3 linked regions of the Arabidopsis thaliana genome follow. The protein of the gene in region 1 interacts with the protein of each later gene in a pairwise test. Each region holds a gene or a part of one and is shown in the gene's direction. Other genes may lie near its edges.

Region 1 (10,227 bases):
GTCCAAACCTGACACCTTTTGATGCAACAAATTTGAAACGGTTGAAGATAAGCCAGTTGGACACAACCGGAATACCTTGTTCTATTTGCATACTAAACTGAAAAAGCAAGAAACCAGTATGAAAGATAAGTAACGTCGACAAGTTAGTGCAAAAATGGCCGTGTGGTTTTCCTAGGCTAGAAACAGAAATGAGTCTCTTACATGAGAAAGACCTTGGTCAGTAGCCTTTGCAAACCGGGATTCTTGCTTTAAAACTACCATACTGTCATGGGTATTTCCACTGCATAGCAGAGAATTCTACACATGTAAATATCAGTTTTATGCTAGAGCTTAAGGAAACAAATTAAGGGAAGCGAGATCCAATATCACCTGCATGTTATAGGAAATCCGTCCAGATCTCTGATATCGCCCGTCCGTCATCGTTAATCGGACGCACATGCTGCACCAATGGAAAATAATACTCTTTTTCACCAAAGCAAAAAACAGCAAAGAGAAAAATATTGTACTACAATGTCTGAAGAAGGTAATGTCCGGGTACCTCAAACTTTACGCTGGTTGTGCTGCTCCATTTTGAACTCGCTGGCTCACTCAAGTCTAAACCAACAGCCAATTTAGAAAGATTTACACCTCCACTCCCTGACCGAGAAAAGTTGTCAACTGGGGTGCCATGAACCCCTATCTCTGGCGAAAGAGAATGCTGTACCAGGTTGAAAAAAATTGAATGTATTTAACATAGCATAATTTGGAAAATTCACTTTCTAAGATAGCTTCACCGATCAGTTGAGTACCTGTATGAAGAAGCACTGTTGCGGACGCCATTCAGGTCTAGGTCTCCTAAAAGCCACCAGTACATTGGAATCATACAACCCTTTATCCCATGAAACATCAAGCTTCTCGCTTCCTCGAAACAAATTTGGATGTTTGATACAGAGGCTGCAACAAACAGACCCAAATGAACACTCAAACAGAAAAGAAAGATATGACCATTTCAGTTCTGCAGATTATATGAACACCAACACTATTAAGTCACAAAACTTGCCTGCCAATCACTAAAGAAAGAGGACTGCTAGTGACTGAATATGTGTTTCATATGGTGGCGGCGTGGCGCCTCCAGCAAATATAATTGCTTCTTCGATTGCTAAATGCAGTGGCGTAGCCAAATTCACTATGTTCTTTTTGTTAAAAAAAGTTTAGCTCCGAAGATGTGAACGCTGATCATAATGCAAATCATAAACTTAGCAAAAAAAAAAAAGTTATAATATACCTTCGATTCAAAACCTTTGTAATTCAGTACTATGGGTGAGAGAGATTAAATATATTTTTAGAATGGGTTAGAAGACAAACTTAAAAAGCTTATGTTCAATTGACAAATATATACTATGAATGTGTTCACACGACCAAATCTAGTTGGTTGCATGAGGTATCAGTTCACTTACTCACGAGCCCAGTGGTGAACTTGTGGTGGGGGGCGATTCTTTCCAGTCTCTTGTTTTTGTCTTCTATTTTTTTGGCTTCACTCTTTTTCTTGATATCATTTTTCCTACACATTTTTCCTTTTGTTTTGTAATAAGGTCTTGATTAAGAGCGAAGAAATGAAATTGTTCCTCAACATCTTTCTAATGCGTTTTTACGTAATTATTTAATTTACAAAAAATTCGAAATAATTTCGTTATTCCGTTGTTTTGTGAATCACAAAATAAACTATATATGGTAAACTAACAATTTTTAGAGCATGCACATAGTTGATACACTATGAGTATCATTAACAATATTTTAATATTAATTTTAATGTTTATTTATTATTTGAGATTTTTTATGATACTGGTAATAAATTGTTTCCAGTGGTGATACCGATATTGGTATCATTAAAAAAAAAAATATTTGCAAAATCAAAAAATAAATTTATAAAAATATAGAGTTACAAAATTACTGTAAAATTATGTCGCATAATCACGAAAAGTTGGCAAAATTACTCACTTGCGGAAAATGTAGCTACTTAGCTAAAACAGTAGAAAGACTATCGGAGAGAAAAATGTTTTTTTTTTTCCAGAAAAAAACGAATTTCACAGACGAATCATAAGCCTCCACGTCATCCGATACTGGGTATCAAAAGAATCACTGCACTGATACAGTATCAGGCCTAAATCTATTGTTTGATATATTAAAAATTATTTTGTGACTCTTGATACTCTAATTATATCACCTATGTACATGGTCTAAAAACACTAAACTTGAGGCAGAAAAACTAAAAATACTAAAGAAATTTGGAGAATGAAAAAGCACTAAGCATTGGTTCTTCCTTTAACTCCCAAATTCCAATTATTTTTTCCTAATGGAAGATCAGTGGGGCACCTTAGACAAAAGTAACTACCATGATGATGATTTATTGTTCAATTATTTTAAGTATATTAATACTACTTTCCGATACTCTTGGTACAGAGAATTTATACAATACTCCTTAAAAAAAACTCAGATATAAAGTTATAAACATTTGTATGGATTGTGGATCCAATTTATGTTTTTAAAGTTATGATATACATTTGTCAAGATCTCTCACAACTAGTAAACTATTTAGAACTCTAGGAATCCACTTGTAACACTAAAATCTACAAGAAAACAACATCAACCCTGAGGTCATCTACGTGGTTTTCTCAAGACCAACTCTTCACGACTTCACGTGCATATATATTTCCAAGTTTTATAATATAGCTACAAATAATAAAATCAGCCAAAATTCAAGAATTTCATTGACCGAGTAAATCTCTGCGTTTTTAGTTACTTTTTCTCAGTGAGAACAGAATCTTCTTCTACATATCGAGCCCACCTAAATCAAAGCAGTAGTAGTGGAAACAAATAAAGCAGTAAATAGACACCACAGCTTTTTTGTTCTTGCTCTCTACACTTCACATTTACCCAAAATCTTTATAATACTATATATTTAAAACTTTTTATCTTTTTGTATTTTGGTTACAAAGAGACAATTATCTCTCCACTGTCTTTATGTTCTTCTTTCATGTAACCAATCTAAGGCAAAACAAAACCACAGACACAAATTCTACACCAAAAGCTTAACCAGATTTTTCCCAAGAAAAAACCCATCCATGAAACCATCATCAGCTTCAAGATTTTCTTTAACTTTCTCACACTTTCTCACACTCTACTGTCTTCTCACACAAACACATGTAGCTCAAGGATCTCATCAATGGCAATCACCAATCAAAACCGTCGTCGTTTTAGTGTTGGAGAATCGATCTTTCGATCATCTCTTAGGATGGATGAAGAACTCAGTAAACCCGACAATAAACGGTGTAACGGGTCAAGAATGTAACCCGGTTCCGAATTCTACACAAACTATATGTTTCACTAGTGATGCTGAGTTTGTGGATCCGGATCCGGGTCATTCGTTTGAAGCTGTTGAGCAACAAGTATTCGGGTCTGGGCCGGGTCAGATCCCGTCCATGATGGGTTTCGTTGAGCAAGCGCTTTCCATGCCGGGAAATTTGTCGGAGACTGTAATGAAAGGCTTTAGGCCTGAAGCTGTTCCGGTTTATGCTGAGCTGGTTAAGGAATTCGCTGTGTTCGACCGGTGGTTTTCTTCAATTCCCGGTCCGACTCAACCAAACCGGTTATTTGTCTATTCGGCTACCTCACATGGTTCCACTAGCCATGTCAAGAAACAACTCGCTCAAGGGTAACATTATCAAATTCTTTCTTTAAATTATTATTTTCATTAGTCCTTGTTAATTTTCATTAGTTTAATTTCACACTTGATTACTGAATTTTTAAGATTAGTTTCCATAGAAAATATTGAGATAATATAAACTATTATAAAATTTTGCATAGTTATGTATTCATCATTTAATTTCAGGTATCCACAGAAGACGATATTTGATTCGCTTCATAGCAACGACATCGACTTCGGAATATACTTTCAGAATATTCCGACCACATTATTCTACCGTAATCTCCGACAGCTAAAGTACATTTTCAATTTGCATCAATACGATTTGAAATTCAAGAAAGACGCGGCCAAAGGAAAGTTACCGAGCTTAACCGTAATCGAACCGAGGTATTTCGATCTCAAAGGTTTACCGGCTAACGATGATCACCCGTCGCATGACGTGGCTAACGGTCAAAAGCTGGTTAAAGAAGTGTACGAGGCACTTAGGTCGAGTCCACAGTGGAACGAGACGCTCCTAGTTATAACCTATGATGAGCATGGTGGGTTCTATGATCACGTCAAGACTCCTTATGTCGGTATACCAAATCCCGATGGGAATACTGGACCGGCTCCTGGTTTCTTTAAATTCGACCGGTTAGGTGTTCGTGTTCCTACCATTATGGTTTCGCCTTGGATTCAAAAAGGAACCGGTTAGTTCTCTTTTTCTCTATTATAATTTTACAAATTTGTTCTTAGTGTGCATTGCTTTTTAGTAGAATCCTCAAGCTTTTTTCCAAATTAACAAGAACACTCCGCTTTTGAACTTGATATATAAATAGTTTTGAAACTACTGACCAAAAAACTTATATGTAGTATTTATGCCTATTTAACGTACTATTTTTTTCACTTATGAATTATTAATATTGAAACTATTCATTTCTTTAACCCAAAAAAAGAAATTCATTTGTATTTCATGTATTTCCACTTTCTACTACTATTTCCGACAGATTTTTGACATTTGCTAACAAAATTTAAGGCTGCAAAAACCAAATCACATGGATGGCATTTGACAACTATAAGATTGTATTCATTAATAATGGTGGAGAAAATAATTGAATCCATTGATTATGCCATTGAAAGATGGAGTATATTATAATTTGTCGGCGTCGTTGCGTGACTCATGTTTTTCAACCATCCTTTGACCCCATTTGATTTTAATATTTTTTTACTATATATAGTTTAATAACATCTTATTTTATTATATGTTTTGAATGAAGTCGTAAGTGAAGCAAAAGGACCAACAGAGAGCTCAGAGTACGAGCATTCATCAATACCAGCGACAATCAAGAAACTCTTCAATCTCTCTTCCAATTTCTTAACACATAGAGATGCATGGGCTGCTACTTTCGAAGACGTTGTATCTCACTTAACCACTCCTCGAACCGATTGTCCCATGACTCTACCTGAAGTTGCACCTATGAGAGCCACTGAGCCTAAAGAAGACGCTGCTCTTTCTGAGTTTCAAGGTGAAGTGGTTCAGCTTGCAGCGGTTCTCAATGGTGATCACTTCCTCAGTAGCTTCCCGGAAGAAATTGGAAAGAAGATGACTGTGAAACAAGCTCATGAGTATGTCAAAGGAGCTACTTCTCGGTTCATTAGAGCTAGTAAAGAGGCAATGAAGCTTGGTGCCGATAAATCTGCTATTGTCGATATGCGATCTTCGCTCACTACACGGCCACACAACTGATTAAAAATCTTGTTTGCATTCGTCTTCCTATGTTTTGATCTGAAAATGTGTGATTTTATGTATGGAAACTAGAATTGAGGAACAAAGAAATAGACAAAATTCATTGTTAATGTTAGTGATATGTTGAGCAATCGAAAGATCTTCATAAACTCCCAATATAACTGAAGCCCAATTAGGCCCATATATAAATATTCAACAAGGCCCAAAATGAGTTGCATCAATTTCTTTAGTTGGAGACTTTTCTTCAATTGTTTATTGTTAGGGGCAGTGGAGTGAAGGAGAAACAACAATGTCGCCAATTTCTAAGATTCTAGGAGGATGCAGGACACTGATGGCGAAGGCGGTGACTAATGCGACGGCTACCGGCGCCGGCGTTGATAGAAGAGGAGGAATTCATAAGATTTTTCCAGTCTCAGAGTCGCTGGCTAGATTCGTCGGCCAAAGCGAAGTCTCTTTTTCCACCGCCATGGAGAAAGTGGAGCAGTATACCGATGATCACAATCTTTGGGTTAGGGATTTCGAAACTCTTCTCCAGTTTCCTTTCATTCTACTTTTTTTTTTGGTGATTTCTAGGTCTTTTGATCTGATTCTTTCTGTTGGAGCAATGTATCTGATTTATAGGTCTTTGATTTGTAGAATCCGGAGAATATAGAGGAGATACTGTGCGATGATAACTTGAAGACGATTTTCGATGGCCAAGACAAAGTCGTCGGAGTCAGAGAGATGACGGAGCTTTTGTTGCGACATTTTCCTAACGTTAGAACTATGTCGGCGAAGGTGAAGGCTACCGGTGGAGGTACTATAGAAAAATGGGGGTTCAATGATATTGTGAAAGTCTCAGAGCCGCTGGCTAGATTCGTCGGCCAAAGCGAAATCTCTTTTGACGCCGCCTTGAGAAAATTGCTAGATTATGCCTTTGATCACAAGCTCGTAGATGAGGGTGTTACTCTGCTCGAGTTTCCTTGGGTTAGCTTTTTTACTTTCCTTATGATCTCCTCTTTACATGTTTATGCATTTAGGGATTGGAGTCTCTAGAGACTGGAGAATGGTAGTGATTTGATTCTTGTGTTGGTCATTATTGGAGTAATTGACATCTACGCTGAAAATGTTGTTTACTCACTTGAATGTTTTGGTTTTGTTTGTGGAAATGGTCTTTTCTGATTGCATATTTTGAAAACTTAGCTTGTCAATTCATACACTGTCAGATGAAGAATTCACCAGTTACGAATATAGAGTGTCTTTAGGTGGCTTTGGACCTTGTGCTTGCTTCTCTGTTTGGTGGTCATAGATTGCATTTTCATGTTTAGAGATTATGATTTGTTTAGAGCTCACTTGTTTCATTTGTAGATTACGAAGTGTAGTAAATGGCGGATACGATGCGATGATACCTTGAAGACGATACTCGATGGCAAAGACAAAGTCGGAAATAAAGAGCTCTCTTCACTCTTGATGCAACATTTTCCTGACAGCTCTCTTCACTCTTGATGTTTTCTTTTGGTTCATTTCGGATGCATATGAACTTTGGTACGTGTAAAAAAAAAACAAAATTTAACTTGAAATAGAAAATAGAAAAAAATTAATTTAGGAAATAGAAAAAAAAGAGAGAAAATCATCAGCTACATCGCTGTCCACCTTATCCACTTGTACCCCAATCCCTTTGGCAAAAACTTGTCACGACCTTTTTGATCCAAAAATCAAAATCCAAAACCGACCAATGGATACCAACAACCAGCAACCACCTCCCTCCGCCGCCGGAATCCCTCCTCCACCACCTGGAACCACCATCTCCGCCGCAGGAGGAGGAGCTTCTTACCACCACCTTCTCCAACAACAACAACAACAGCTCCAACTATTCTGGACCTACCAACGCCAAGAGATCGAACAAGTTAACGATTTCAAAAACCATCAGCTTCCACTAGCTAGGATAAAAAAGATCATGAAAGCCGATGAAGATGTTCGTATGATCTCCGCAGAAGCACCGATTCTCTTCGCGAAAGCTTGTGAGCTTTTCATTCTCGAGCTCACGATCAGATCTTGGCTTCACGCTGAGGAGAATAAACGTCGTACGCTTCAGAAAAACGATATCGCTGCTGCGATTACTAGGACTGATATCTTCGATTTCCTTGTTGATATTGTTCCTAGAGATGAGATTAAGGACGAAGCCGCAGTCCTCGGTGGTGGAATGGTGGTGGCTCCTACCGCGAGCGGCGTGCCTTACTATTATCCGCCGATGGGACAACCAGCTGGTCCTGGAGGGATGATGATTGGGAGACCAGCTATGGATCCGAATGGTGTTTATGTCCAGCCTCCGTCTCAGGCGTGGCAGAGTGTTTGGCAGACTTCGACGGGGACGGGAGATGATGTCTCTTATGGTAGTGGTGGAAGTTCCGGTCAAGGGAATCTCGACGGCCAAGGGTAAAGTTTCATTTTCTGTGCAATGTGATATACATTGATTGATTACATGATCGTCTAGGGTTTTAGGAGATGGAATGATAAACAATCTCTAAGTCTGGTTTGTTTGGGATATAATCATGTTAGTCCAAGATTTCTCTGTTTATTAAGGTTTTAGGATTTGGAATGATAAACAATCTCTAATCCTGTAATCATCAAGATTTGAAAATTGTTTTCATATCGCAATTTGCAAACATTGCTATATCAAACAACTAGATTCTCTTGCTCTTCTGCTGAATCTGAATGAATCAATGAACTATGGCTCCTTAAACTTACCTTTCAATGTTTTGGTATCATTTTTGCAGTTAAGCTCAGAGTATTCCAGATGATGCTTGACCTGCTTGAAGATAGCAGATATTAGTCGACCTCGCCTTGAATTTTGGATGTGTTTGATAGATTATGCCTAAATTCAATGAAAAGGCTTCGTTAAAGAAGAGTAAAAAAAACTCTTGTTTCTCTCTGTTAACGTATATGTTATTGTAGCAAAACCATCATTGCTGCGACTTAGCCTAACTATATATAATCTAATGTGCAGTTTCTATTGTATGCTTCTTTCCGATTTTTTCTCATATTTGACTTATCTTGATGTCTGAGAAAATGCAGTCTTGTAACCTGTAAGGTTCTTTTCAGAGGTTTCAGTGCTTGTAAACCTCAAGCAAACCCGATCTGAACCAACTTGGTTCTGTGTAAATAGGTATCTGTATATGAACTCGTGACATAGTAATGTATCTAGCATTGATGACAATAATGTTGTTATTTGATAGAAAAGGCTTATCATAAAGCATCTTACAGTAACATAAGTTATTTTTTCAAGATAATTGTTTTGTAGGCTTAACCCTGTGACAGGTATTGATCTTTCTCTAAGTGTAACTTCCACATTCTTGAGGCACCTTTGGATATCGCTGTCTGTCAGAACAATAGTCATAATCCAGGTACGTCTTCCTTGCGTTTAGGTACAGTGTCTTCTCTTTAGAGCTTAGCTGTTTGCGATTCCACCAGAACTTAGGATCAGTGCATTTATCTATTCCCATGAACTCAGTCTTACACCCTTCAATCTTTGATGCCTGGAACTTAGCAATGTAAGGCATCTGCTTCGGGTCAATTATCGATCCGTTTTGCACACTTCCCATTAGGAACATTGTCTGCACCGATGGGTAGTAAACATCTGGATTCTTGCTGTACACCCTGATCGGTGTATCGTCAACATAAAACCTGAAAATGTGGAAATACATTTTCTTTTTGTTACTGATGTTAATCAATGGATGATCTGATAAAAAGTGTTATATGATACTCACACAAGTTGATTAGGGTTCCAAAGAAAACTGTAGGAATGGTAATCTTTTGTTGGATCAAACCAGAGACGAAACCTCTGATCTTTGCCTCCTTCACCGTACAGATACATATTCGTATTCAGCAAATACGGTGGCCCATTCTTTCCCAAGATCTGGAAACAGAGCTCATCATGGCGGCTTGAACGGGAGATTAACTGCCGTATAGCAGAAAAACAGATTTCAAAAAGCTATTCAGGTACGTAATCTCATCATCTTTATTTTTAGACAAACTTAAGTTTACTGGTCATTCACGTACATAGAAGGAAGTAATGACTCCCGTAGACGTAGTTTGAGGTGCCTTGATTCTTACGTTGAAGTATCCTGATCCGTAAATCAATTGGGATTCAAACCCGGACCCTGTAAGGAACATAGACCAATCACAATCATCGACTAGACACAAACACACAGACACATGTAGACAGAGAGAAAGAGAGATAGAAAACCAGAGTTTTTATCGAGGGTGAGCTGGAGCTCAGAGGTTTTATTAATAACCAAAGCTTGATGTCCCCATGTCTGGTAGTAATTGTTACCCCATGTCACGAATCCAGTAGTCTCTTCTTGGCCTTGAGCCGCAGCTACAACTGCTACAACCACCATAACCATCAGTAGAATCTTCTGATCAGATCCTCTCATCTTGATCTCTCTATCTCTATCTCTCGTTGCTTCTCCCTCACTTTACTTAATCACATTAGAACACGACTCTCTTGGGCTATGTTATATAGGCTTAGAGCAGCCACGTACGTTACGTTGTATTTTTTCACCAAATAGTCTATATTCACTGCATCATCCTAAAATCCTATTCAATTAATTAAAAAGTTTTGAGTTTAATCCATCTAAATTTTGAGATTAAGTTTGTTTTTAGTGTAGTGAAAGCTGTTTCCAACTCGTTTCAACGCATCAAATATTGCAGCTCAAAAAGCTTTACTATTTTTCACGATTTCAATACTTTTGTTTGTTAGCTTACAAAGTTTTCCATACAAAGTAAACTCTAAAAAGGGGAAGTATAAAGTCATTAGGTTTAGATGTTCCAAACTTTT
Region 2 (11,363 bases), on another chromosome or scaffold:
AAACTTTCATTATTATCAAAAAAATAAAACCAAACTTTGACCATTCGTCTCCAAGCATTAATAAAAATAACTGTGAGAATTTTTTAATACATATCGAAGAGAATAATCTGCTGAATTTTTCTCTATTTTATTTTATTTTGGGTTTATTTTAAATTATTTACACTTTTTTTTGTGCAGTACATAACCCAAAACAAAAATGTTTTTGTGGGTCTTGACTTTGTGGCACAATCTTCTAAATTCTATCTTTCCTTTTTTCGAATTTTTTGGATGTTTTGTATTTTTGAATTTTAACTGTAAACCCTTTATTATAAAAAAACAATGAAATAATTATAAATGTAGGGCAGACCTGGTTTTTAACACAGAAGACAGGTTGTCTTCCTCAAAACATTTGCAGAAATTGCCTATTCTCAGTTTTCTTATAAAAAAAAAATATTATCCTTACAAAAAAAAAAAATCATTGTAGCTTGTCTTTTAATAAAGTCTGTTAGTACAACTTTCTTTTTTATTCGATCAGAGCCGTCAAAATGTATCATGTGTCACTGTTTACTACTACTACTATTAAGTACTAACGGTAATTGTGGAAATATATGCTCTTTTTTTTCGTTTCCATTTTATAGTCTATGATATTTTATTTAAATAGTTTATTTAGACCTTGTTGAAAACTCTCAACGAATGATCGATCGATGCGTCTACCAATCATTAGCCGTTTCTTTTAATAGCATTAGCAGTTTTCTCAACTTAAAGCATTCTGATAACAGATTTTGCTAAAACTTGCTAGTGGCAAAATCTATAGAAACGTACCAATGTATTAGTGATTAGTGAAATGAAAAAATATACGTATTGAAATTTTGAAGTATTGTGATTTATGAACAATTGAATCAACACATGCGTTTGTCAGATCACGATGTAAAAGTCAATTTCAACATTCGAAAATTTGGTAGCCCAAAACTTTATTCTTTTCCTTAACAACATCAATCAGTGATTAATATATATATCACCTTCGTAATCAATATTTTGTGGCAATAATTATCATTATTTTCCAATTTTGGATTTTGCTTCTAAAGCCGTTCCACATCTCTTTGATTTTGAGGCACGTCTACTACGTTGTTTTTGGAATATAAATATTTATTTTACAAAATGTAATGTATAAATTTCACATATATAAGAAAGAAAGTGTAGATATGAGTTATTTGATGATGGATAGTGTCGCACTGATAAATCCACATGAAGGCTGCAAGATACAGGCAGGCATGCACATGTTTATGCTCAGCCACTTTCCCAATATTATTATATAGTATTAAAAAGTATTCTAACTAAAATATTTATTTTATTCTCAACTTGAACAAAATCACCGTTAGATGGATTGCACTTTATCATCCAACGGTGTGTATCACAAGACTTTATCACGCGTACGTGGTCCCGCGTGCATGGGATCATTGATCTGAGTGATGTTTTTATTACAGTACAAAAATTGACGCGTGACGTGTCCAGCGATTTTGTTTCCTTAAAGTCTGAAAATCCGTTATAAACGCTGTTGATTGGTCGTGGCGTATGAACGTGACAGCGAATGATACGGATTCCCGTTATTTTGACCGTCAACGTTTCCTTTGCCACGTGGTGGAATCTTCGTTGGCAGATGGGACTTTAATTGAAAAGAGTAAATCATTTTTATCAAAAAGGAAAATTAATATTATTATTTTTTACTACTGGCCACCTCTTGAAATGAAGCAAGACTATTTGTGGGCTTAAAATCCATTTCTAAAGCCCAGTAAATCTATGTATACAGAATTCACACTATCTCATATGTAATATAATGGAGTTTACGGAGTGTCACATTTTATGGCTTGATTCATAAAGTTTTGAACTGTGCGAAATTTCATTTCTTTGGAATGTATACATATAGTAGACCAGCAACATAAAGCACACTCTTCCGTTAACGTAATTTGAACTGACTTCAAATCTATTATGTATTGAATCAGTTTCTTTTTAACCAGTTTAGCTGATTAAATATATATATTTGGAAAATTTATTCATTTCTTATGATCTGCTTAAATATAGTAACTGACTGTTAATACATAACATAGTAATCCGTACAATGAAACATTGATTCTGATAGCTTCGTATATATGTTTTACGAAATTAGTCAATGGAAGAGAGCTTCTAATTTTGATACTAAAGCATTCAGATACCTAACATGTGCCTATCTCTATAAGTTGAACGATATCGACTTCCATGAGATGTACATTCTGATTCCATCATTAACGATTCAGGCCTTAGCCGAAATTAGCAGACCGCTATGCTCTAGTTTAGGACACCTAGTTATACAAAAGATTGCTATATATATATTGCCAGCTTATAGGGACACAATCATTACGAAGGGACAAATCTTAATTATGTAACCATCGATTGGGTGATCATGTAAATAAAACGAAATGCGTCATATACATCATACTCTATCCTTTCAAATATCAATATTTGAACACATATATGGTTTGCATAATGTAAGAAGTCAAACTTTGGCGACGTCCGACTAGAGTCTAGAGACAAACTACTATGAGTCTGAATGTGTTAGTTCCAGACTTCGAGTTTAGTTTTATTAAGGAAATTTTTTTTGTTTTAAAAAATGTGTTTTAATTTTTTTGAAAGTATTAGTACTACGTTATATAAATCGACGTTAGCAAAAAGACTCCTTAAAAAATGTTAAACAAATTACAAAACCATTAAAAGAAGAGAAATATTACAAAATACACGTGGATATCGTGAAAGGGTCCAAAGTCTATGGAACTACAGACTTGCCCTTCGCCATTAAAGAAAACGGAGTGTGGAGTCATGACGTCTCACCCATTAAGGCTTAACATATTTTGACGAAAATTCACCAAACTAAGATTGCTTCCCATGCAAACTTTCTTCATCTTCTAGAGAGTTTCCAAATTTAAGTTTTTATTATTTAGAAACAAAATTTCTATCAGTTTCCTTCATTACTTATTATCCATCACCAAATGTATCGTTTACCATGAAAAACAAATACTCTTAAAATAAAATAAATAATAACCAATTTACACTATGAGATATATCCCTAACATATTAAGGTTAATTAGCATATGATTTAATATAGTAGAAAAGAATAATGTGTAATCAAGTGAATAAATAAAAATATCACGGCGTTGAGAACGTACAGATATGTATATTAATATATGCATGTGACAGTTTTGTGACATCATTTTGTAAACTAATAATTGACATAGGCATCAATGAAACCTACAATACTTCACGTGCTCATGGAAAAAACACCAACAATATATAAGTAATGCCCTCAGAACTTACTTAAAGATACGCATATATTAGAAATTTAAATAATTCTACCAACAAAAATTTTTGTAAAGAACTATTTGTTTGTAGAGTTGGATCAGCATCCAGATTTAAACCCTTATTTTTGTTTTTGCCAAGCATCCAGACTTAATCCTATATTAGATACTGTATATGCATCTTGATGGAATATAGACTATATAGAAAGACCAAAAATGGAAGAGTACGAATAAAAATGCATAATATACCTTGGAAATTATTCTTGGTTATTGTGAAACTTAAAACATTTCAACGAAGTCATATACTATTATTTAATCATTGATTTAAAATTGCTAATCAAATCACGTGTTGTTGTTATATATGGATAAAGAGTTAAACTATAACACAACTGAGAAAAAAATAAAGTTATCAATTTTGTTAAGAATCAATGAAGGTTTCACAAGACTGGGAAGAAAAAAAAATAGATATATGGAGTACATAAAACATTAAAATTTTGCTAAATTTTACTTTTGAACTCTATTGATTCGGGTTGACATGATGATAATGTTACATTCGTACAATTTCACAATGAAAAAAACGAGTACTAAATATTGTCAATCAAACATATGAATGTACAAAAATCCATAAACTCTACCAAAATAGAATGAAGATTCTGAAATCAAACCTACTTTTTCTTTTTAATTATAAATTCAACTATATTATAAATTTATTTATCACAAATAATAGAGGAGTGAGAATATTTTAGACAACGCAAATTTCTTTTATTTAGTTCTTATACTTTATTTTTTACCAAACGTTAATTAAAAAAATCACACATACATAATTTCTAAAAAAAATGTATTCTTCAAGTAATATATCTTTCTGAGTACTAGTTTATCTATTTATCTCCGTATTTAATAATCAAAAGTTACGTTTAAAATAGAAACAACTTTTATCAAACAAAATATATTAGAAAACGCATGGTACTGGCTACTGGAAAGAATCATGACCTGTAAATTTCTACAGTTTTCCCGTTTTATATAGTACTTAGAAACTTTGGATTTTCATAGCGCAACCAATAAACACATGGACTTAAGACACAAAAAAAGTTGGGTGCAATGTCATTAATCAAACTAAAAAAATAATGATTAAAAGCATGGAATTCCGAAAACGCAACAAAATGATTCTGTGTTTAGACAAATGCAGAAAGGCCTCTTAACTAATCTTAAATAAAGTCTTAGTTCCAACCACATAAACACTCCTTAGCTCCATTAATTTTGGTTTTCTTAATTACGTTTCTACACAAGTACACGTACTTACACATACAATTCCACAGTCTAAATGATAAAACTATGTGGTTTTTGACGTCATCGTTACCTTTCTGTCGTCTCACCTTTATATAGTGTCTCTAACAGAACGTAACAACCAAATGTTTAAAAAAATAAAAACAGCACCCCTTAATTAGGCTCATTCGTTTTGCACTAACCATACTACAAATCATCTCGAACGATCGAGCAAAGATTTGAAAAATAAATAAACGTATAACTCTAGAGATTTTCATTAGCTAAGAAAAGTGAAATCGATTGTTAATCCTATTTCAGACGGGACAGGAACACTCATTACCCAACTCTATCATCTCTCGAACACCAAACTATATCTACCGTTTGGGGCATTATTTCCCACTTTCTTTCGAAGACAATTTCCCATATATAACATATACACATTATTACTAATATATTTTTATAAATTTTCGTCACATCCCAAAAAAAAACACTCTTTGTCACATCAACTAGTTTTTTTGTAACGATCAAACCTTTTCGTTTAAAAAAAAAAAACTTTTGTAGTGTAAACGTTTATTTATCGATGAAAAAAGCCACATCTTCCGGAGGGAAACTTTTTAAGACACCCTATTTCGACTTTATTTTGTAAATACAGTGTGCATGTGCATATAAAGAGAGATATCATTTGTATAAATATCAAGAATTAGAAGAGAAAAAGAGAGAAGAAGACAATCTATTACTATTACGATGTGTGGGTTGTTAATTTGTTTAAAGGGAGCTTTTCTATAGAGATTTTTAAGGTCAAGGGTCATCGTTCGATGTGGGCTTGCTTCCTACAATCTAGTTGCCTTACGGGGCCTACTCTTTTTCTTTTGATAACTACATCACCTTTTTTTTCTCCGACAACTATATATCACTTTTTTTATGTTTTCCTTTTTTTCTTCACAATAATTCTTTACTCGTTGCAAATGTAAAGATACACAAAGTTACTTATTTTGTTTACGATGGTTCTTAGTAGTTTAAAGAATTAATGAATAAGATAAACCTAAACTTTGAAAAGACTAAAAAAAATGTATAACAACATACATTATACGTATTTGAAATAGTCCAAGTGATATTATGTCATTGATATTAGCACAAATAATTACGATGCCTGATATTGTCACATTTGATGATTTTAAGTTCTTGTAAAAGATAAGTGTAACTAAATCACTATAGTGAGGCCCACGTTTTAATTTCTAAACTAATTACAATGACAATAAAATAGCAAAACTATTTAAAACTAGACGCCAAAAAAAATTGAAACTAATAATTGTGAAAAAAGAACAAGAGAATAATAATCATTAATAATTGACAAGTGAAATTAATATATTGCTCTTGGAGGGTTATATTTTAATTTTCAAACTAAATAATGAATACAAATGGAAAAGCTAATGATAAGAGTTGAATTTTAATAATTAAGAAAAACAAAAAAAGGTGTACAAGGAGACACATGCGTTTTCCTCATGCATCTTGTTTTTATACAACAATATATATATATATATTGAGTCATTCTCTGCTAGCTCTCTCATCTCCAACTTTCAGTATGATATATAGTTACAATTAAATAAACCTCACATGCTCTATTCTTGCTTGATTTTTGAGTTAATCTTGAATCTCTTTGATGATGTCAAAATCTATGAGCATATCAGTGAACGGACAATCTCAAGTGCCTCCTGGGTTTAGGTTTCATCCGACCGAGGAAGAGCTGTTGCAGTATTATCTCCGGAAGAAAGTTAATAGCATCGAGATCGATCTTGATGTCATTCGCGACGTTGATCTCAACAAGCTCGAGCCTTGGGACATTCAAGGTTTATTTCCATAAAGAAATTTTTTATGAATTAATTTTCTCTCTTTCACACTCTCATAATCCAATTTTCCGAATTTATTAATTTTTCCATATATATGAAAGTGCTGTCTTGTCTATACTACTTTCGATTCATGACGTGATCTCATGTATCCTTTTACGAGAATATGACTAGAGTACAGAGAATCTACACTTAGTTGTTGATGTTGTTTGTTCATATTCGGAGTTAGTTACTGCAAAGACCAACATAGGTTTGGTTATTATACAATTTACTATTTAAGTTTTTTTCTTCTGATTATTTTTGTCGTTATGCAGAGATGTGTAAAATAGGAACAACGCCACAAAACGACTGGTATTTCTTTAGCCACAAGGACAAAAAATATCCGACGGGAACGAGAACTAACAGAGCCACTGCGGCTGGATTTTGGAAAGCAACTGGCCGCGACAAGATCATATATAGCAATGGCCGTAGAATTGGGATGAGAAAGACTCTTGTTTTCTACAAAGGCCGAGCTCCTCACGGCCAAAAATCTGATTGGATCATGCATGAATATAGACTCGATGACAACATTATTTCCCCCGAGGATGTCACCGTTCATGAGGTATGTATTAATTCCATCATAACCTAAATACGAGTTATTCAATCAAAGGATTTGGTCTCTTTTTTGAATATCTCATTTTACATCACAATCTCGATTTTGTTTTGATTAATTATTATTTCATTGACCATTATAAAAGTTGTTACTGATGATAAGATGTACAAGTAAAAAATATCATGTAATTAATATATATATAAAGGTAATTAATATATTTTAAAAAACAATATTTATGCAAAGTATGATCGTAATTTTCTTTAATAACATTATGAAAACTATCACATATTCGTTTTCGTTATTATTTTTTTCTTAAATTCCCAATATTTAATGATAATAGTTTTAGTTACTTCTTCCCACAAATATTTCTTTTCTCCTTTGTCATATACAGACGCACATGAAACTGAAATATGAATTTTCTTTTTCTTTTTGGTTTTAACCTAAATGGGATTAGTGCAAAACATGAACTTTGCTAATATATCTTAGTTGATTTTTGAATATTTAAGGTCGTGAGTATTATAGGGGAAGCATCACAAGACGAAGGATGGGTGGTGTGTCGTATTTTCAAGAAGAAGAATCTTCACAAAACCCTAAACAGTCCCGTCGGAGGAGCTTCCCTGAGCGGCGGCGGAGATACGCCGAAGACGACATCATCTCAGATCTTCAACGAGGATACTCTCGACCAATTTCTTGAACTTATGGGGAGATCTTGTAAAGAAGAGCTAAATCTTGACCCTTTCATGAAACTCCCAAACCTCGAAAGCCCTAACAGTCAGGCAATCAACAACTGCCACGTAAGCTCTCCCGACACTAATCATAATATCCACGTCAGCAACGTGGTCGACACTAGCTTTGTTACTAGCTGGGCGGCTTTAGACCGCCTCGTGGCCTCGCAGCTTAACGGACCCACATCATATTCAATTACAGCCGTCAATGAGAGCCACGTGGGCCATGATCATCTCGCTTTGCCTTCCGTCCGATCTCCGTACCCCAGCCTAAACCGGTCCGCTTCGTACCACGCCGGTTTAACACAGGAATATACACCGGAGATGGAGCTATGGAATACGACGACGTCGTCTCTATCGTCATCGCCTGGCCCATTTTGTCACGTGTCGAATGGTAGTGGATAACGGAAATGGAGGGAAAGAGAGAGAGGCACACACACATAAGACATTTCACATTTGTGTAAAAAGATATAATCATACCATATAGTTGTTGAAACATATAAAAGAAAGTCAGATTTGTGATAATTACAGTGGTTATGTGAAATATTGTAAAATAGATTAATATAAGAATTTAAAAGAGGAGAATAAAGATCTCAAAAAGGAGATATTTCGTTATTGTTGGGGAGAGCATTACATTTCATTATAATAATCAAAATGTCTTCCATTTAATTTTATAGTTTTCCTTCTAGAAGAAAAAAAAAACATATTACGAGAAGCTTCGCCGCCCCGCCTAGGGTTTCCAGTTCCGGTGGCTTTTTCAGCACCAAAACCGGAATTTCTTTGTTGTAATCTCTTTAGTTTCGTTTTCTTGTGGGTTTAATGTGATCTGAATCCTATTTTCTTCCAACGGTCTCTGTTCTAAATTCACAGATCTAGATCTGTGAAGTCTAAATCCTTTGCTCTTCCAGTTTTGCTGCTTGTTTGTCTCCTTCGTCTGCAGCTTCAGTTCTGGCCGTTCCAACCATGGCAGAGGCAGGTTCATTTCGATCTTTCATCGCCTCAGATGCAGATCTCTCTCCATTGAAGATCTAGTTCTCCTTCCTTTCTTCTTGAGACCTTGTCCTTTGGGTTTCGGGGTGTTGTTTGATGTCTCACCGCCGTTTGTGGTAAGGAGAGTCTTGATTTTATTTTCTTTGGTTAGATCTCTAGTCTCAGATCTGTTTTTTAAAATAACTTTGGATTTAGACTTTGTTTTTCAGTTTTGAGTTTTTTAGTAATGGATCTGGGAAGTTTAGGTTTAGTATCATTGTTGTTATTTAATTTGGGTTTTTCCCCTTTAGATCTATCTTAGTTCCCGGGAGATGTATTGTGCTCGCCGGCTTAGTCTTTGGAAGGAGTGTTTTCCCTTGCCAACTTATATAATTCAACTCTTGTAAGGTTCTAATCCATCAATAAAATTTTAATTTTCTGTGAAAAAAAATAAAAAAAATTATAAGCCCATAATCTTGAAAATAATTTAGAAAATATAATTAAAAATTACAAGAACTACATAATATTTTACGACCAAAAGGCGATAGACAATTTTGATACAAGACATTGTGTCTTTTCTAGCCATATATTATAATACACTAATTATCTTCATAGATACATATTAAAATATGTGTTTTAGTAGGCACAGAAATTGATGGACTATGTTATCTTAATTAAGTACTATTAGTCGTCAATTGTATGTTTGAGATTAATAGATTATGATTGAGTATCATTAATAGCAGTCGACATAATAGTATGCTTTCAATTGTTCTTATTCAAGGAGAAACAAACGACGTATAGTACACTTATTTAAATAAATAAAAATTCTAAATCAATCATAATCTATTAATCTCAAACATAGTATCGAGTTATATAGTACAAAAAGATAAGCTAACCTAATATTCTCTTATTGATTATAATTATGTACCCTTTAAACATGTGTATCATTTGCACCAACAAAAAAAAAACATGTCAAAATTACATAATTGAGCAAATTCGGATTTTCATTTAATTCTTCTTGATCAGAATAATCAATCCGAGTTTAATTCGTCTTCCATTATGCAAAAAAAAAACAAAAATTAAGAAGTCTTTATATTAAAAGCATACATATATATGTTTGTAGTGACCGAGAAAACGAGATACTCTCTATGGTCAAATAAATACCCGTCTTCTCAAGTACCATCTTTAGTTTGTTTGATTTTTTGGTATTACATATCAAAATTCGAATTTATTTTAAAAATATCATAGAAAAGTATTTTGTAAAGAAGCTTTGTAAGTTATAAGTTTATGGTAGATTGGTAGTTTAAGGTTTCATATATATACTTGTGGTATATTTGATTTTTAAAAACTAGTTTATTTGTCTCTTGTTAATTTTCGTCATATATTTTACGTGGAAAATTGGGCTCATCTATATAATACTATTGTTTTATAATTTATACAAATGTGCTCCAAGCCGACTATAAATACGACTAGTACTCTCTTCTGCGATACATATTTAAATATTTATTTACTGTGAAAAGCTCGAGTCATAACGATCATCCGATTATTAGTAAAACTTCATATAATCTTTTCGATATATCTAGAGTAAAAATTCAACTTATCCATCTGTAATAAGAACTTATTCTACACGTCATTATAAGTTATAACCCGACATTTGGAGATAAACAATATGGGGATTGTCCCCCTTAGATAATTAATGAAACTTCCCTATTTTGTCACAAAATTTCTAATGATAATTTTGAGGTATGGGTCGAGAGATCAATTATCCAAGTATGCCTTCCCGAAAAATTGACAATTCATCCTCAACGCCATAATTAATATATACACATAAACATGTCATTGATTAAAATTCGAAGGGTTACTAACTATAGTAAAAGACATATTATAAGGACTGAAATTTTCAACTACGTAGTACTACTAAAAGGCCACTAATACTTTACGTACGTTATCACTTTTGTACTGGGTGAAACCTTCACATTTGTTTTTCCTAATTTGTATAAATAAGAAACTTGATCTCATGGAACCGAAAATTACCATGCACGTGTCCACGGTATTAATTAGTATATACATATAGAAGTTAAATTTGTTGTTGTCTTGTTGAAATAAATAATCGTGGTGTATAGACTCTGTAAATAACTAAAAATATCAAAGGTCACTTGAATAAAAAAGTTAGGAGTTTCATATTATACATGCATGTATTATGTATATGCAAACACACTAGCATACTTCAGACTATAACACACCATCTCTTTCCGATCGTGACTACACAAAAGCTAAAACCGCTTCACAAGGGAGATAAAGTCCGACGAGAACGGATTTGCCGACAAAAATTAACCTAAGTCCATCATCGTTTTCCCTCACTTTATTACTTATTTATCTTACACTAACGAGTTTCGAGGATGATTCTCTCAAGGCATATTAGGATTTTTTTTTGATGCTCCTTTAATTCACTGTCCTTTGATGTCTATATCGCTCAACCATTTTGCTCTTTTTACCTTTATTAAATTTCTCACCATTAATCATACACATATCTTATCTCTAACAAACCCACAAGGATTATGGAGAAAAAAAAACTAAAATCATAATTAGAAAGAGATAGCCAACTCAATCACCTATAATAACCTCGGAATGAGTTGCTTTCGCAATCAAACCATACACCTTAATA
Region 3 (10,792 bases), on another chromosome or scaffold:
CAATGTTTTCTTCATTATTGTCCTTCCATATAATTTTATAATATATACACACAGAAAATTTCGTACCAAGTTCAACAGAGCCTTAATTTATAGGCATGATCTCAGGTCGGGTCATATTCCCCACCTTCATATAAAATTGGTTAGAACCGACTGTTGACCAAAATATTAAATCTTATTCACTGTTAATTTTCTTTGTAAACTTAGAAAAAAATTTCCGTTAAAAACATGTAAGTTTTAAAATATATACATGAAAACACTAAAACATGCCCCAAGAATTGAAACCCCTAATTAGTTGAAGGGACCGGTTAAGTTAAGAATTTTGTTGAACTAACTCCGGTTATAGAAACAAAGAAGTAGTGTGATTGTAACCAAAAATACGAATGAGGTTAAGAAAAGAGGGTAGAATTTAAGACAAACTTTATTGGTGGATGTGAAAATAGATATAGGGGCAAAGGAGGCTATGAGATTAGATGGGTCATTGATTCATTCATCTTTGAAAATTGAGAGAGATAGACTTTACTGTTTGGTTACCTTTCACGTCATCTCTTTTTGGAAACTCCAAAAACAGTATGAGTTTGTGTGTGTCTTCGTGATCTGTTCCCACCATTTATCCTCTCTGTCTCTCCACTTCCTTTCATTACTCTCACTTTCTTTCACTTTCTTGTTCACTTCTGTTTCCTCACTAGTTTCTCCTCTTTTTAATCACCAAATCGGCACCTTGTTGCATTAATTACTACAAAAATATATTTACACTCAAACCAAATCAGACCTAATTGAATCTGAACTGATTATTGGTTAAACACTTTGAATTTTCGCAAAAGCATGTGTAGAACAAAATTAATACTTCTTATTTTCAGTTATTTTATAAAAACATTAGTTATCTTAATAGTTGAAAAATCTCGTTGATAGGACGATTAATTTTTTATTTGATTTGCATAAAGTAATTGATCTTTGTTGTTCACAAAATAACGTGATTGATTAGCATTTGAAATTATTTGATTAATTGACAAGTTAATATTTATAATTAAACTCATGGGTGAAACGAAATGCATATCTATAGCTAATTTATTTATAGCTAGCGTCTTAAAAATCCATTGAATGACATATATATTTTGGTGATGTAATCCTAATATTTATAACATTGTACACGTAACCTTCTAGTTTTATATTAGTCTAAATACTTTACGAACTCAACATAGGCAAAATCCAAACTAGTTCGATTTTGTTTTGTTCTATAGTTTTCTCTTTTCTAAGCAAGTATATTCCCTAAGTGTTCGTGATTGTTCGATAGATTTATTGTGATCGTGCGTGGGTGTAGTACGATAAGGAGAATACACGTGATGGTTGTGCGACATCACACGCCAAAATCGGACCATGGGGACGCATCACAGTTGAAGAGAAAAGACTTCTCCTTTGAATTGAATTGGATCCTATGTTACTCTAAATGTGCACGTGTTCATCATCTCCACCTCTCATTATCATTACCAATCCTTATTCTTGATTTAAAACGGATTTTAATTTTCAAAGAACTCAATGTTTACTTGCATTGACTACTAATTATTGAGGACATCTAAAATATCTAAGAAAAAAAACTCTTGTTAATCAATAAAAAAAGATCCCATATGTAAGTAATTTTATTTCTTTGCTTTTTTATTCTTAGTCTAAGATCACTAATCACATAACATATTACATATAGATGGATGCCACGTCAGAAAAGAGTCTATTTGAAAGCGAACTTTTCTTTCGAGTAAAACACAAACCTGACCAAACGTGTAACAAAATTAAACATTATCGTACAAGGGGACATTGTAACACATGAATAACTAAGGTTGATAAAATTTGTAGACGGACATAAAGAATTCCAAGAAAAGTGAATTAGGTGAAATTTAAATGGGCTATGGGGTCAAAGAATGGTCGAGAAAATAAAAATTAGATTATGTCAGACGAGTAAAATTGAGCTTTGGATTAATTCCAACGTTTTAGTGATTCCTTATTACACATTTGATGTATTTTTGTGACAAACTGACAAAAGTATATATTAATGCTATGTTGAAAAAGGTATGTTCAAGCTTGTAATCAATTTTGGACTGAGTCACGCATGGACCGTAGCTAATATATCCACCGAAACGGATTGACCATGAGATCGCAATCTATTTTATACCTCAGATAATTTTTGTCCCCTCACTATATGAGCTTTACATACATCTGTTTCCAGAGTAATTTAGTTGCTTATTCTGTTAGTCACTCCCTAAAACAAGCTACTACACTCGATCAAGCAGTAACATCAAACTCCTTTAATCTTCCAAGTTAGACTCTCTTCTTACTTTTCAAGGTATGTTTAAATATTTAACATGTTTATAAATAATTCCATGTGTAAATAGAACATATGTTTTTAATAACTTAGTATTTTAGACGAAAGAATCGAAAATCTAGTACTAGTCTACTGGATATAAACAAAGTAACAAGATAGATTCATAGCCCAAAACAAAAGAACAACCAAATCGAAGTCCCACTTTAGCTAGTGGCTCTACTTACAAACAAACATAATTAATAGTGTGTTTCACCATATTTTATTTCATCATTTCATTTTAAACGGTAAAAAAAAACTGATTACAATTTTTATAAATGTTTGTTCTGCAAAATATAAAATTAAATAAAGCTGCATAACTTTCTGTTTCATAAAATTATATAGTTCATATATACTTCTTCACCCAACCTTTTATTTCATATTTCATATATAATATTAATGTGTATTTCAAAGTGATTGACCAATTAAAAAGAAAATATGACGAAGAGAAAGAGAGTTTGTAGTGCGTTCGGTTAAATCTCTGTGCAGAGGATCGTACAGTTCTGAGACCCCTTTTGTATCTGTATTTATCCCATATTTAATGGTTACGTCTGCCAATTGGGATTTCTGGTCAAATACGAAAAGGTCTTAAAAGTTATTTCTTTACATTTTTACTGTTCATTCTCATTACTTATACACACTTCCACACGGCCACATTCCTCATGTATGTGGGATATTTAGGGTTGAGAGTTTTTTTGAATTGGCATTGTAATATCTCGTTATTAAAAACCATGAGACTGCTACAAAGAATAAAACAGTCAAAATTTCAAGATTATTTGATACAACATGACAAGGAGAAAATGAGTATATTGAAGCGATGTTTAATTAAGAAAAAAATTGAATGAAGAAAAAAGATTGTGGTTAATTTTTTAAGATAAGAGAGGGTTTCACAGAAACAAAAATGGTAGTAAAAAGTAAAGGAATGAAAGACAAGTGGAGATTAAGAGAGAAAGAGGTAAATTTTAAGGAACCCAAAATGAAATGAAAGAAAAAGCTGTCTGAGAATTGGTTGTGCTAAGAAGAGACCCGACTCATTCCCCAATGGTAAACTCTCTTTTTGCCTTCATCCTTTTTTGGTAGTTAGTTCTGCTTCAGCTTTTTTTCTTTCATCTCATTAGCTTTTATTATTTTCACCTTGCACCTATAAAACATGCATTGATTAATAGAGGATAAATTTCACCTAATAACGGTAAGATTCATTTCGGACTCGTCCAAGATATTCTCTACATTCATTGTTTTTTAGGTCGACACTCCCAACATTAATTTATTTTGTCATAATCCATTGGTTTTCATTAAATAAAAGAGGAAATACTATCTTATACATCAAACTAAGATAAACATTAATTATTCATAAAAGTAGGAAATTTGTATAAGGAACCATAGAGAAGCAGCGTAATTAATGTTATCGTTTGATTATGAACCCTAATACGACTATAAAACTATTGCATACTTTTCAATTACTATCAATCTATGGACATGGAAAAAAACTTGGTCTTCAAATCTTAGTTACTTTTAAATTTAATAAATGATTTATCAGAAAAACTCTTTAACTTCTATGAAACTAGGTACACCTGAACAAATGTATAACAGTCCACAGCAAAATCGAATATCGATAATACACATTTGTACTTACTTATTACAGTAGTGTATATGTAATATATATAATAATGTATAAATGCAAAGAACTCTGTCGTTTGAATTAGTCCGTGACGACGGTCCATAACCCTTTTTAACAGTCGTCAGAAAACACGGTCGCGACATGTACATACACGCACATACCTAAAGCCATACGTAACAAACACACCATTATATACAAAAGATATTCTATTATTTTTAAAAAATAATATTTATGACACACATTTACGTACGTGTATATATAATATGCAAATGCACTCACATAAGTCTTTCTCCTCCGATGGTATATGTCTATAAGCTGACGTGACATCTCTCTTAATTCTCAATAACACTTCTCTTCTTCTTCCTTTCTCCCAACACTAACTCCATGTTTATAACGGAAAAACAAGTGTGGATGGATGAGATCGTCGCAAGAAGAGCTTCTTCTTCTTGGGACTTCCCTTTCAACGACATTAATATTCATCAGCATCATCATCGTCACTGCAACACAAGTCATGAGTTTGAAATCTTGAAGAGTCCTCTTGGAGATGTAGCGGTTCACGAAGAAGAGAGTAATAATAATAACCCTAATTTCAGTAACAGCGAGAGTGGTAAGAAGGAGACAACAGATAGTGGTCAGTCTTGGTCCTCGTCGTCTTCAAAACCATCGGTCTTGGGGAGAGGACATTGGAGACCAGCTGAAGATGTTAAACTCAAAGAGCTTGTCTCCATTTACGGCCCACAAAACTGGAACCTCATAGCTGAAAAGCTTCAAGGAAGATCTGGTAAGTTAAATCAAAACCTTATTTATTTTCTATTTCTTTTGACAGCAAGTTAAATCAAAACCTTATAGATCTTCAAAATTTCATCAAAACCAGTTTGTTTGATTCATCTGGATCTGTCAAGTTCTTAAGATCCGGTGATAAAATCAATTTTTGTTTTTATTAGTTTTCTTGGTCTTTAGCCTTCTATGTCCAATCTAAGTCCTAACGTAATTTTTTTTGAGTTTTATTAACTTAATCTTGATTGTTTTTAAAGGGAAGAGCTGTAGACTACGATGGTTTAACCAATTGGACCCGAGGATAAACCGAAGAGCTTTCACAGAAGAAGAAGAGGAGAGGCTGATGCAAGCACATAGGCTTTATGGTAACAAATGGGCAATGATTGCGAGGCTTTTCCCTGGTAGAACTGATAATTCAGTGAAGAACCATTGGCATGTTGTCATGGCTCGTAAGTATAGAGAACACTCTTCTGCTTACCGTAGGAGAAAGCTTATGAGTAATAATCCACTTAAACCTCACCTCACCAATAATCATCATCCTAACCCTAACCCTAATTACCACTCTTTTATCTCCACTAATCATTACTTCGCTCAGCCTTTCCCCGAGTTTAATTTGACTCATCACCTGGTTAATAATGCCCCTATCACGAGTGACCATAACCAGCTTGTGTTGCCTTTCCATTGCTTTCAAGGTAGCCTATAGCTCTTCCTCCTCTTTCAATAGTTTTTTCAATTGTCTTTTGCATATTTTGAACTCTTTTTTGGTTTTTGTTATATCTACAACGTTCAGGTTATGAGAACAATGAACCTCCGATGGTTGTGAGTATGTTTGGCAACCAAATGATGGTCGGCGATAACGTTGGTGCCACGTCAGACGCGTTATGCAATATTCCGCACATTGACCCTAGTAACCAAGAGAAACCGGAGCCAAATGATGCAATGCATTGGATCGGAATGGACGCGGTAGATGAGGAGGTGTTCGAAAAGGCTAAGCAGCAACCACATTTTTTCGATTTTCTTGGCTTGGGGACGGCGTGAATGTTGAACAAATTGGTGTTAATCAGATAACGACAGTGGTTAAATTTGGTTACAAAAAAAATAGCATTTAGCTTTAGTAGCTAGAAAACAAACAAACCAGATCCTAGCCTTTGTCCTTGCGTTTACGTTAATTACTAAACTGTAGATTGTTGTTGTTGGCACTTGGTTGTCTAGTGTAACATTTGATAAGTCATTGTTTTTAGTAGTACTCGTTCAGAAATATTTAACAAAGAGAGATTGGTTTTAAAAAGTTGATTCTTTTATGATGAAGTGACGTGAAATATTGCTAAAGACGTGTTGAGAATAACAACGAGAGAGAGAGAGAGAGAAGGGAAATTAAAAAGAGTGGAGTTTCTAGGAGTTGGAGAAAGAGACGAAGATGCGTAATTAAGAGAAGAGGAACTGCCAAAATTGAGGCAGAGATTGTGCAACAGAAAGGCCAAACATGAAACATGCTCACCAAATCTCACACACACATTGCATTTGTTTCTTCTCTTCAAACCGTTTTTCCAACTCTTCAAGCTTCTTACCTATGTATCTCTCTCATGTCACGCGGACCCACACATGCCCTTCTTTCTTGTAATTCTTTCCATGTTGTAGATATAAAAGAAAAATTTAAATTGAATTGTTCTTTTGTATAGTTTTGGTTGGGTTAAAAAAAAAGGAAAAAAATTAGTTTTGGTTTTGAATATGAGTTTTTAAAATAATATATAACGTGGATAAATGTATGGGTTTTTCGGATTTTGAAAGGTTGTTGTAGAGAAGATTTTTAATTTACCCATTGGGTCTGAAATTGCTTCAATAGGCCCAATCTATTTCGGAGATGTTCTCGAGTCTCTCTTTTTGGGAACAAACATCCGAGTGAAGTCAATATTAAGTGATTTTCGAAAAGATAAAAACTATTCTAAAACTAATTAACATTTTTCCACTCATTTTAGTAATTCTCCCAAAGTAAAGTGCTTAAAGAGAGGGGGAAAAAAGTGCTTAAAGTGTTTTCTTCTTATTGTTTCCCTTTATACGCAAATGAAGAGACTTATTTTATTTTCAAAGAAAGAGACTTTTATGTTTCTCCTTTAGCTTTTAGTTTGTACCAATCAGATGGATTCTGTACCAAGGACTCCAAGTTAAGATTCTCTACTTTTTCTCCTTTACATGAAAATTCACACATATGTTTTTTTTCCAATTAATTTATACACTAGTACTACAAAATACAAATAATGGAGTAAACAATATTTTCGAACCACATTTACCAAAAAAGACATTACACTTCAGCATTTCCATCTGTTTGGATAATCTACAAAATGGGGATTGTGGTATATAAATAAGATAGATATTAAAAGTTAATTCATCACACAAAAAAAGGTATCTACAAAGTTTCTTTTCTCCTTTAACGTTATATGCTCTCTCTGAAGTTCATAGATCTTGCCATGGCTGCAGGGTTTGCTTGCAGGTTAAGATACGTTTCAGGGACGAATCTGTTGTTGCTGCTCTTTGTTTCAGCTCCATTACTGAAAAAGCTGAATTCTTGTGTCTTCTCGCGGGTCATCGGTACTGGATACCACACATGGTTATTTGTAGCCATACTTGTTTCATTTTTGATGCTCTGAGATTCCAAAAGCAAGCTTGTTCTCTCAAAAGCATTTTTACTCTCTTTAACAGTTTCATGAGAAGTTTCGTCTCTTGTCCTTTTCCCAAGACATGTAGAAGTGTCGAGGGTAGACCAAACCGGTATCGCGCAGCCCCAGTAGACGGGCATGTGGTAGAAACTAGGGTTTGGAGGGTATTGGTAAGGCCAAGGAGGCGAAACAGGGGATGCTTGGGGAGGAAGTAACCCTTGGAAGTTGTTGGGTTCTTGTGAAACAGGTTCAGCGTTTATCTTCACTTCGTTTGATTGATGCTTAGGCCTCTCAGTTACCAAAGAGTCCGAAGACTCGAAGCTTAGAATCTTTGTTGAGGAGCTATTGTAATTGTCAGTATCCTCGGAAGTGATGTGCAGGTACTGGTCTGAAGAAACCCATCCCTTGTTCTTGCGACGGCCTGAGCCAACCGGGACGATCCTCATGGATCCACCAGCGGTCCAATACCTCTGGCATTTTCTACAGAAGTGACGTGGCTGGTTAACGTTGTAGTTGTTGTAGTAACAGAATTTGGTGTCTGCGCTGTTGCATCTCGGACATGGAAGAATCTTGTCTGGTTTCTTCAGTTCAGTTGTTTTCTCTTCTTCCGATGTAATTGTTGTGATCTCGCTGTGTTGGTCATCACTGTTCTCAGATGTTTCTTTTGACTCGTTGTTAAGATTAGATGACAGCTTAAGACTTGTATTGTCAGTAACAGATTGGTTATTCATCTGAAAAAAATTGAAGGAACTTGGATTAGGATTAACATCATGAACTAGTTTCAAACTGATACAAGGACTAGAGAAAATATTAAATCTTTAGCATTTCTTAACAAATAAAGGTAAGACCATGAAACATACCATGTGTGGTCGAAGTGATAGAGAAGAAGACGAGGAAGACGAGGAAGAATCAGGAAGAACATGGGACGAAGAAGAGTATGGATCATGAGAAACCGGTGTAATTGTCCAGCCAAACAATTTAACCGGAGTATCTCTAACTTGAGACATACCAATCTTTGAAGACATAAGACAGAAAAGAAGATGGAGTATGAGATTAGATTTGTGTTATGTGTTTATTCTTTATTTGAGGTCTGAGACAAGAGTATGTATAAGAGGCTGAGGTTGGTATTAAATTAATAACGGATCACACAGAGCCACAAGCCATAAAGACAGAGAAAATGGAGAAATTACACGTCAGCTTAGAGAGGGACATGAAGAGATGAGAGAGCCACATGTTGCAAAAAAGTGGGCTTTTTGCTATCTCTTTTCATGCTCTTTTTGATCTCTCTTTCAGTGCCACTAAAAAGATTTGCCTCCTTTATTGTCAGCCACGTCTCATTAAAATGTACAACTTCTTTTGGAATATTCATACAGAAAATTAGAAATACAATAATGCGAAAACATTTACAAAAATGCCAGCTGCCATACATCAGTTCAAAATGCTATATTACAGATGTTCCAATGTGGTTTTGTGAATGAGTACAAAATATTTTGGTTTCTATACGAATAACCAAAATATTGACTACTAAAAAAATTGTTGCTAGGGTAAGCAAAATCAGATATTACAATATGAATAACCAAAACATCGATTATAAAAACTAATTTCTATACAAATAACTAAAATATCGATAACTATTTTCTCCTTGTCATCCCTAGCGACGAGACAACAATCATCATTCTCCTCGAGATGATATCAAGATTGCGGTGGTTAAAATCTTGGTAAAGTGCTATGTTTACCATGTTGGACCATTTATTTTTACTCTTACTCTATATTATTTATCTAATAGGAGAAAAATTTACAACGTTGGTAATTTAGCTTCTCACATGCGTGATCGTGAGATACAAACACATTGTTGTGCACGATGTGTTTGAAGCTGGTTTAGAGTGATAAAAGACGTTTTGTTGCTAGAAAAGAAATCAATAAATTGTGGTTTAAGGTAGATCTTGCTCTAACAGTTTTTCAAAATAATTTGATTTATTCGCGTGATTCATGCACTTATTTAGTATCACATACGTTACAATTTCAAACTAATATTGCATAGTTGTTAATAATTAAATATAATGATATAGAAACCATTTCATACTAACATTGCATTATTCCATAAATTTGACCATTTTTGTTGCCAAAGAATAATGATATAGAAACCATTAAATATATATTTTATTTAGTATGCTTGTAATTGTATTTTACGTTACAAACTAAAGATTTATACGTATATCCCAGAAGATAATTTGCATTAAAAATAATAACACATTTAATGTATTTTCATCTATAAATTCTTGCTTCTGAAACAGAACAAATATTATTATCTCACAAATTCTTAAAAGTAAAACACACTCATGGCTTTCTCAACCAATCAAAATTTTATTTTTGTATTATTCTTATTTTTCTTTATCCTCAAAACGTCAGCATCATTAACAAATCACTCGTCCCCCGATGGGCTTTTACCATTCGCACGTAAACATGTTATCATCATCAACAAATTGGTCACACGTGCAACGTTGATTGTACATTGTACTAACAAAGGGGAAGATTTAGGGGTAATAAGACTCAACCCTCTAGATCGTTTTGATTTCAGGTTTCGTGTCAATCTCCGTAAAACAACAACATACACTTGCAGTTTCGAGTGGCCCGGCAATACAGCTACGTTTGATATTTTTAGAGCTGATAGAGACGATAATCCAAGCGGTAAATATGGAGTTTGCAGCGAATGTATATGGAGTATTTATGAGCCAGCTCCTTGTCGTGATAGACGTGATGGAGGCCAACCTCAGTGTTTTCCTTGGGCTTCTTAGTCATCTAAAAATATTTAAGATATTTGTATTTTCCCTTTCATTTACTTTAGTAATAATAAAATAAAATAATTTTGTGTTTGAATTTGTGGTTACCTATTTTTAGTTTCTCATGTGTGATAATAGATTAGGTTATTCTTATAACCATGAAAATCTGAATTCACGTCAAAGACACATTCATCACGACCTTAATGGCAAGGCGATCTTGTGATAATGATTCACAGTTTTGTTTATTTGGGTATATCGCCTTCCCCAATCATATGAATATGGTATGGTTCACCGCTTTATTCATGTAAATCCGGAAGAAGTAAAAAAACCTTATCATCGACACCTAACATGATTTCTTGCTTCAAGCGGCGAATGTTCTTGTGCACATACATTTTGACCACAAGGAAGCAATTCTTCACCAATTCATGGAAAGCATAAAGATCGCGGTCAATACTACAGCTAATGTGTTCGTAAGAATATTTCTCATTGTCTTCGAGAGTTCAAAGTAATTAGGTGTTTGTATATAAGATAGACCTCGAGATAAATATAGCAGTCTCCCATTTCTGTTCTGATTGATAACTCTTTATTGTTGCGATAAATGGTGTACCACCAAGTA

What was found.
Region 2: the proteins of AT3G48600 (region 1) and NST1 interact in a two-hybrid assay, tested with the Arabidopsis thaliana proteins (one large-scale study listed by BioGRID).
Region 3: the proteins of AT3G48600 (region 1) and MYB117 interact in a two-hybrid assay, tested with the Arabidopsis thaliana proteins (one large-scale study listed by BioGRID).

The regions. Positions count from the first base shown.
Region 1 is NC_003074.8:18,006,834-18,017,060, reverse strand, and holds AT3G48600 (SWIB complex BAF60b domain-containing protein), read left to right. Parts: upstream 1-5,620; 5' UTR 5,621-5,697; coding exon 5,698-5,916; intron 5,917-6,044; coding exon 6,045-6,374; intron 6,375-6,755; coding exon 6,756-6,893; 3' UTR 6,894-7,035; downstream 7,036-10,227. Other genes in the region: AT3G48620 (Outer membrane OMP85 family protein), read right to left, coding at 1-97, 202-297, 370-439, 507-632, 789-886; NPC6 (non-specific phospholipase C6), read left to right, coding at 3,102-3,691, 3,869-4,371, 4,939-5,408; NF-YC1 (nuclear factor Y, subunit C1), read left to right, coding at 7,123-7,823, 8,165-8,168; XTH11 (xyloglucan endotransglucosylase/hydrolase 11), read right to left, coding at 8,720-9,071, 9,155-9,345, 9,447-9,547, 9,634-9,823.
Region 2 is NC_003071.7:19,217,688-19,229,050, reverse strand, and holds NST1 (NAC (No Apical Meristem) domain transcriptional regulator superfamily protein), read left to right. Parts: upstream 1-6,134; 5' UTR 6,135-6,228; coding exon 6,229-6,415; intron 6,416-6,726; coding exon 6,727-7,013; intron 7,014-7,510; coding exon 7,511-8,134; 3' UTR 8,135-8,326; downstream 8,327-11,363. Other genes in the region: AT2G46765 (uncharacterized protein), read right to left, coding at 8,487-8,711. UniProt on the Arabidopsis thaliana protein: Transcription activator of genes involved in biosynthesis of secondary walls.
Region 3 is NC_003070.9:9,266,684-9,277,475, forward strand, and holds MYB117 (myb domain protein 117), read left to right. Parts: upstream 1-4,268; 5' UTR 4,269-4,349; coding exon 4,350-4,746; intron 4,747-4,999; coding exon 5,000-5,434; coding exon of another isoform or gene 5,435-5,445; intron 5,446-5,532; coding exon 5,533-5,780; 3' UTR 5,781-6,030; downstream 6,031-10,792. Other genes in the region: AT1G26790 (Dof-type zinc finger DNA-binding family protein), read right to left, coding at 7,174-8,127, 8,257-8,421; AT1G26795 (Plant self-incompatibility protein S1 family), read left to right, coding at 9,736-10,191. UniProt on the Arabidopsis thaliana protein: Probable transcription factor that involved in boundary specification, meristem initiation and maintenance, and organ patterning.